Linked DNA regions of Daphnia pulex. The protein of the gene in region 1 binds, or shares a complex with, the protein of each later gene. Links are inferred from orthologs where the notes say so. Each region holds a gene or a part of one and is shown in the gene's direction. Other genes may lie near its edges.

What was found. Proteins that work in one complex are often made in the same cells at the same time.
Region 2: integrator complex subunit 9-like (region 1) and integrator complex subunit 12-like share a complex: the UniProt entries of both Homo sapiens proteins name them as parts of the integrator complex. The link is inferred for Daphnia pulex from reciprocal best matches to the Homo sapiens genes INTS9 and INTS12.

What each region holds. Positions count from the first base shown.
Region 1 is NC_060027.1:3,457,078-3,461,146, reverse strand, and holds the start of integrator complex subunit 9-like, read left to right. Parts: upstream 1-1,269; 5' UTR 1,270-1,407; coding exon 1,408-1,416; intron 1,417-1,485; coding exon 1,486-1,680; intron 1,681-1,744; coding exon 1,745-1,947; intron 1,948-2,007; coding exon 2,008-2,209; exon of another isoform or gene 2,210-2,271; coding exon 2,272-2,405; exon of another isoform or gene 2,406-2,472; coding exon 2,473-2,585; intron 2,586-2,649; exon of another isoform or gene 2,650-2,658; coding exon 2,659-2,839; intron 2,840-2,907; coding exon 2,908-3,347; intron 3,348-3,423; coding exon 3,424-3,614; intron 3,615-3,678; coding exon 3,679-3,846; intron 3,847-3,916; coding exon 3,917-4,033; 3' UTR 4,034-4,069. UniProt on the Homo sapiens protein: Component of the integrator complex, a multiprotein complex that terminates RNA polymerase II (Pol II) transcription in the promoter-proximal region of genes.
Region 2 is NC_060026.1:13,198,591-13,202,100, reverse strand, and holds integrator complex subunit 12-like, read left to right. Parts: upstream 1-1,497; 5' UTR 1,498-1,619; coding exon 1,620-1,790; intron 1,791-1,844; coding exon 1,845-1,948; intron 1,949-2,006; coding exon 2,007-2,129; intron 2,130-2,187; coding exon 2,188-2,304; intron 2,305-2,368; coding exon 2,369-2,849; 3' UTR 2,850-2,927; coding exon of another isoform or gene 2,928-2,976; 3' UTR 2,977-3,010; downstream 3,011-3,510. Other genes in the region: adapter molecule Crk-like, read right to left, coding at 782-813; eukaryotic translation initiation factor 2D-like, read right to left, coding at 2,928-2,976, 3,054-3,185, 3,261-3,510. UniProt on the Homo sapiens protein: Component of the integrator complex, a multiprotein complex that terminates RNA polymerase II (Pol II) transcription in the promoter-proximal region of genes.

The sequences.
Region 1 (4,069 bases):
CACACACAACAAACACGTCGTAAGCAAGCTGCTGCTGCTTCCTCTTCTTTCTCTCTTCGAGTGTTGAGAGACACATCTCACATTGCTCCGGCTTCAATTTCTTGTAAGAGCCTTTAGCAGCAGCAGCTATCGTGTGTTGGAACACACATTTTTCTTCTTCTCTCGATAGATCACTCAACCGACCCAGCAGAGTATCGACATTTTTTTCTCTTTTTTCATTTCTGGTGAATAAGGGGGGAGGCCCCTGAGCTCTTTTGATTTCCCAACTACACTACTGTACTACTACTACCACCTACCCCATGGTATATATCAAACACACACACAAAAGCTTCTCTTTTTCATTCTTTTCTTTCCTTTTTGATATGGGAAAAGGGCCAGCAGCCGGGCAGATGTTTCCCATTTTGTAAAAGACCGTTCACTCTCTCCTTTTTGCTCACGTATATATATATATATACAGAGGAAAAATGCTCTCCCCTCTTTGGGTATAGTCGTTGGTCGTCTCCGACACCCATTTGTGATGTGTGTGTTGTGTTCCCCCCCATCGTATTTCATTTCCCTTTCTCTCCCCCTTAGTAACCGTGTCTGCTCTTATTTCTCTCTTCTCACACAGACACACAGCAGACTCCCGACCAAACACAGAGGCCAAGCCGATCATCGACCATGTTGTTTTCTTCATTTTCTTGCTTGGGTCTTGCTTATTGGATTCTTTTTATTGTGTGTGTGTTTTTTTTCTTCTGTTGTTGCAGGGGCATCAAATATATATAGGAGGCATTTCGACACCGGAAGCTGAAGGAGCATCACGTATCATCTCTCGCTGTGGAGAAAATGGTTCAATGACTTGGCCTTATCATTCACCAGTCCGGTTAGATTTTTTGGAAAGTTCCTTTTTCTTGGTTGCACCAAGATTTAGTTGAACACCCTACTGGACGGAGAACTGATAAGGGCGTGTCTTGCAACACAATCGACGAAATGGACGAATTTTTTTTTTTTGACAACCAACAAAACTGTATAGAGTGATATAATATTCTTTCGTTCTTAATCATTGACAAAATGTGTGTAACTTTGTAGCTTCTTTTGTTTCGCTTGTTTGTTGCGTATCCGATGGCGTTATTCAATACACATTCTCAAAAGCGAATATGTGATTCAGATTTCAATTTTTATTCTAGATTTATTTCTTTCGCGTTCCGGCGCTCTTATTTAAAAAAATAAAATAATAAAATAAAATGAACCTATCTTTTCAAGTTGAAAAATGACAACGCTGCATTGGGTTTTCAAATGTTAGTCTGCTAGCAGCTCGTGTAGTAAGTACGAACCGGACAAACAAACAAGTCTGGATCTGTCTGTCATATACCGAGTTTGAAATAAAAATTCTTTCTTGTCACTTTTCAGATAAAACGCGCCCACAACATGAAAATCGTAAGCATTTTAATATTTTCCTTTCACCGAAATGGAGCGGTCTGATAAACACAGTTTCTGTTTACATAGTACAGTCTGGGCGCCAACCCAAATAAACCCTGCAACATCTTGAATTTCAAAGGCGTTTCGCTGATGCTCGATTGTGGGCTGGATATCAACTCGGCCCTTCATTTTCTACCTCTGCCTCTCGTTGCCAGCAAAAGGCTCTCAAATTTACCAAACTGGATCCCGAGAGACACACAGGATGCTGCACTTCTTGATGGAGTGAGTTAGATTTGATCTCTTCTCTATCTTCGTGTCATTTCAAATGTTCATTTATCCTGTATAGGAACTGAAAGAATGTGAAAATCGAGTGTTGGTGGATGGCCCAATAGAGATACTGCCCCCTCAGTCAGACATTTTTGACATCTCTGATGTGGATACCATCTTGCTATCGAATCATGCCTGCATGCTGGCCCTGCCATTCATCACTGAAGAAACTGGCTTTAAAGGGAGGGTATATGCAACTGAACCCACCTTGCAGATTGGAAGGTATGCAACCTGCAATTGTTGTCACACAATATTGAGACTATATTGTATTCTTTGTCGTAGGCTCTACATGGAAGAACTGGTCAACTACTTGGAAAGGACTCCCAAAAATCAGCGAGCAAACAGATGGAAGCAAGTACTCCAGTCTCTTCCTCCTCCTCTCAGTGGGGCTCTGAGACCAAATGATTGGAAGAAAGTCTATTCCACAAAAGCCATCAATGCAGCCCTGGCAAAAGTTCGCATGGTTGGCTTCAACGAAAAAATTGTACGTCCTTTTTCGGATTTTTAAAAAATTCTTATGAAACAATATTAACCGACAACTTTTAGGATATCTGTGGTGCTTTAACTGTGATGGCCGTCAGTTCTGGATATTCCCTTGGTAGTTGCAATTGGATCATTCATTCCGGCTATGAGAAGATTGCGTACGTGAGCGCTTCATCTACTCTCACGACCCACCCAAGGTTCTATAAGCTTAATTAGTGTTACTTTTTTAACAAATTAATTTTATACCATTTTTTCCATATACAGGCCGATGGATCAAGTTGCCCTTAGAAATGCCGATCTCTTGATCTTGACAGCGTTGACTCAGACCCCCGTGGCCAATCCAGATTCAATGTTGGGCGAATTCTGCATGGCAGTTGGTAATTCAAATAGTAAAATTCTATTAAATTACATTAGAAAAAAACTAACAATGTTTCCTTAAACCTTTTGCAGCATCCACGTTACGATCGGGCGGATCTTGCCTAGTCCCATGTCACCCTTCCGGCCTTCTTTACGATCTGTTCGAATGTCTCTCAGTTCATTTAGACAATATTGGTCTTAGTCAGATTCCGCTGTTTTTCTTCTCTCCCGTGGCCGAAACTTCCTTGGCTTATTCCAACATCTTCGCTGAATGGTTCGGCTTGTCACATTTATTATTTTTCCGAAAATGTTTAGTCAACTTATCATCCTCATTTCATATAGGTTATCTTCAGGCAAGCAGAGCAAAGTTTATCTCCCAGAAGAACCATTTCCTCACGCCCATCTCATCAAAAATGGTCGACTGAAACACTTCCCAAGCCTGCATGCCGAAGGATTCACCAACGAGTACAGACAGCCATGTGTCGTATTTTGCGGTCATCCTTCCCTTCGTTTTGGCAATGTAGTTCACTTCATAGAGTTATGGGGCAGTCATAGCAACCACAGTATCGTCTTCGTTGAACCCGATTTCCCTTACCTGGAAGCGCTGGCCCCCTATCAACCACTGACCATGAAAATCGTTCACTGTCCCATTGACACGAGTTTGAGCTTCACTCAAGCCAATAAACTGATACGCGATCTCAAGCCAGGAAACTTACTCGTTCCAGACGTTTACCTCCACCCGCCAGTGTCGGCTCCCTTAAGATCAGACTTGGTTATTCAGGGTAAGTCTTCGATCGATTCCTGTTGAACTGGATCTAGTTGGCCAGTCAGTTAACCTTATTCTTTCTTTTTTTTTAGAATTGGATCCACCAGCATTGGGTATGAAGTCCTACCAGGTGTTACAGTTACCAATTAAGAGGAAGCAGGAAAAAGTGCATCTTGATCCGGCCCTGGCCTCTCGTCTCGAACCCATCCAATTTAAAACGGGCCTTTCAGCTTCTACTCTGACTGGAAAATTGGATGCTCGTGACAATAAATTTACTCTGAAAGTGAGTCCTTTGTTCTCCTAACTTGTGACAGTGTCTCATAGCTTTTTACTATTTTCAAATCTAGGTATTAAACGAAGAGGAAGGAGGCACATTGTACAGTGCGTCGGAGAGAATGCTGCCTCGCCATCCTTGGGGCTCTGTTGACACAACTCAACTGTTGCATTTGCTCAGTCAACATGGTTTGCTAGATGCTCGGGTCGAAGACACTCCTCGAGGCGTCGTCATTCACTTGGTACTACCCCGTATATCATTTTGTCATTTCAAGAGTCGTAATAACTTGTCTTTCCAATTTTGTCTTTTAGCCAAGAGAGGACACTGTGATTCAACTGGAAGGTTCCAACACTCATGTTTACTGCCATGATGAAGCGCTACGGAGAACTTTGAGGGATATTTTGCTACAATGTCTACCTTGTTTGTGAACATCACCATAAATACATTCGAATTTTTCTCTTATA
Region 2 (3,510 bases), on another chromosome or scaffold:
CGTACATACCGCTGCCGGGCGGGCCGAGTCGAGCGCATCCGGCCATATCTAAATGGCTCTCTCTCTCTCTTTCTCTCTCTCGCGTTTTTTCCCTCTTCTTCTCTCACCACTGTGTTCCCCCCTTCCAAACAACATACACGCACTCACTTCCTATACCACACCATCACATCCTCTCCCAGACTTCATCATTTTTTGGGGCTTTTTTCTTTCTCGGGAATGCGTCGCCATTTTCACTCGTATTAAAACCAACACATATGTGATCATCCGAGATTCCAGCTGCGTCATCTACCACCGGCGCCTGTTTCTACCACCACCCCTTTGCCCCATACAACATCTAAATATTTATCACGACGCCCACCCCTCGGAAAATCCATGGCCTATCTTAGATGACTCTCCGGATATACGGGAGAGAGGGGACCGACCAGCAGGATGTAGAGAAAAAGGCAGTAGAGGAGTTAATCTTCATGATCATCATCTGTCAGGAATCAGTCATTTAATTGAGAGAGAGAATAAGGACATTGGCAATATGAGAGACTTTCTAAATCGAGGATGCAGGATGCATCACTGATTCTCTCATTTCTAAACAATCTTCCTTTTTTTTCTTTACCGTCTGGCTGGGGGGTTTTACTTGAAACCTAAATTTAGAAGCTAGAAGTTATCTGGTGGTTGCAGCCAACACAAACAAACAGCAATTTCCTGAGAAATTCACACCAACTTCTGGCTGATGAAGGAATGAAACAAATGACCTGTTAGAGATTAAAAAGGAATTTAAATGATTTACCTGTTCCTGTCGGCTGGCTCAAATGTAGACATGGCAGCAAGCGAAATGGGGTGGAAGCTTGCACAATCCAAGAATTTGTTCGTCAATTAGAAAATCCCCTCACACCCTTTTGTGAGGTGACTAAATGTCTTTTATCTCGACTTGAAAACAATCGACAACCGTGTCCAACAGGCCTCACATCCTCACTGAACCTCATACAGCACATATAACATCACTTTGATATGTAATCATCACAGGAGACGTGATATAACTAGTAACCTTTCGATCGTTCAAACGGATTCTATAATCACCAAATCAACTACACATCTCCTTTTCGTTGTGAGGTAATCACAGAGAGAAGAACAACGGCTATCTTGATCCTAAAAATTTGTGTTAAAAAATAACTCGTCGAAAGCTAAAACCAAACCAGCAACAGCGAGTCCGTCTGTGCAGAAGCAGAATATGAATGTCTTTCTGGCTAGACTCACAAATCTATCTAAGCCGTCGTTAGCAAACTACCGCTAGGTGTCATCGCTGAGTCTTATCGCTATTTATAGAATTCTTGATAAAACTCCGAATTTCTTTCTTTTTTAAAAATAAGACATCACATTGCGCGCTAATTAAATTTGGTGTCAAAATTTGCATACTTTTTGTTCATTAATAAAAAGAAAGTGTTGAAAATAAAATTGCACAATTTATTGAATCTGCCACCAGAGGGCCATTTCCTTCTTCACATTTATTTTGAAGTTGATGTTGATTCGGACAGAAGTGCTGTCGTGAATGGTTTGCTTTGAAAATAGCTCCAAGAACTCATTACAAATATTTACTATTATTAATATTTTAAATTCTAAGTTTGATAATGGATGGTCTTATTGAACCATATTTAATTAAAGCTATCAGTCTTTTGCATTCTAGTGCTAAAGATTCTGGTGACCAATTGAAATCTATGTTGGATGAAGCCATAAGATTAAAGAATGAAACCAACTCTTCTGTCAGCAAGTTGCCACCACCTTTGACGATGATCAAAAGGGTAATATATTTTTACTTTTTTTATGCTGTTGTGATTAAATCTCTTGCATTACAGGAAACAAAGAAGAAAAGTGACTTCTTCATTGATGAAGATGTTCCTCTCAGTAAAAGAAGGAAGGAATCTCCTCGATCTTCACAACCTTCATCTCCATCTTCTAGGTATGTATCCACAGTTTTGGATAAACTTTATACTAGTTAACTAAGTCTTGTATTACAGTGTTCTTGAGAAAAACAAGGAATCTAAGCGAAAACATGATAACATGTTCAATGATGATGAAGTTGTTCCAAAGAAATTCAAAGATTCCCCTCGTTCTTCACAGCCTGGCTCACCAGCTGGGAGGTGTTTTCCATTTGATTTCTTATTTATTAATTTTATTTTTAAAATTATATTTTCCTAGTTCACCACGAAATTCGAGATCTCCAAGTGTGGCTCGAAAAAGCGACGACCTCGATTCTTTGAATGACGCCGATGACTTGGCTCAGGAAATTATGGATCTTCACTGTGTTATTTGCACGTAAGTCTTATTGTTTGTTATAGTGATAAAAATATTCAAACTTTTTCCTCTCTCTACGTAACAGTGGCCTGGATGTTACTTCTGGAAATCAGCTCGTAGAGTGCCAAGAATGTCACGGCCTTTATCACCAGGAATGCCACCAACCGAATATTAGCGACGCCGAAGTTAACGATCCTCGATCCGTCTTTTTCTGTTCCGATTGTAGCAAGTCAATGAAAAAGACCGCTAGTCGACCTAAATCAAGTAGCAGTAGGGAAAGTCCCATCACTTTCTATAAAAGTCGATCTGACTCTCCGAGTTCCGTGAGTGGCAAAAGCTCAGCCGGCCTGGTAGTTAACTTCAGCAAACAGCAAACCTTGCCCCAGAAGCCAAATGGCGGCAGCGGTGCTTCAAGTAAGTCAACAAGCTCATCGAGCAGCAGTAGCAATTCTTCATCTGGAAATACTATTGGCAACACATCCCTCATTAACGCCGATAAACGACTGCAGAACATTAAGAAACGGGCTGCCACAAAATTGCAAGAAAAACGGAAACCTGGAAAATAGTCGGTTGTATATTAAACAGGCACCATCTTTCCGTGTTGTTTATTTCGGATTCCATTCTCTTATACAATTTCGCAAAAATTATTTTTTATTTTTGGCTTTTTTTAAGTCGAATCCTTGGATAAATTGCCTGTTAGAAAAAAGATAAAATTTTGTAAAGTTAATATTTATTTCTATTATTTTATTATTTAGTTTTAAAAAAATTACTTGGGAATTCCGTATTCATCGATGAGCAAATTTCCGACAAAACTAATTTGGTTACCCTGTACCAACACCAATTGACCCTTTTTAGCTGGAGAGCTGGTTATTGTTGTGCTAGCCGCCACGCCTACTTGGCACCTATTCAAACAGACAAGAGAAATTCGCTTACTTTTAAGAGACCCCTTCACCTAAAGAATGTGAGACCATTGGTACCTTCGAGCAAATTCGTCCAAGTCGATCCTGTACGTCTCAAGGCCACTGATGAGGGTGACCTTCTTGTTGCCAGCTCTCGATGCCGTGGTAATCTCGACTGGCTCCAACTCTCCTTTCACGATGACGGGAGCCGACTGGTTTGGGAAGATCATTTCATAAACTGTTGAAAGTTTAGCTTGACAGCGGCTCATTAGCTCTTCCCAGCTAAGCGAAGCTGCTACTTCGCCTTTTTTTAACATGACGTCACTCA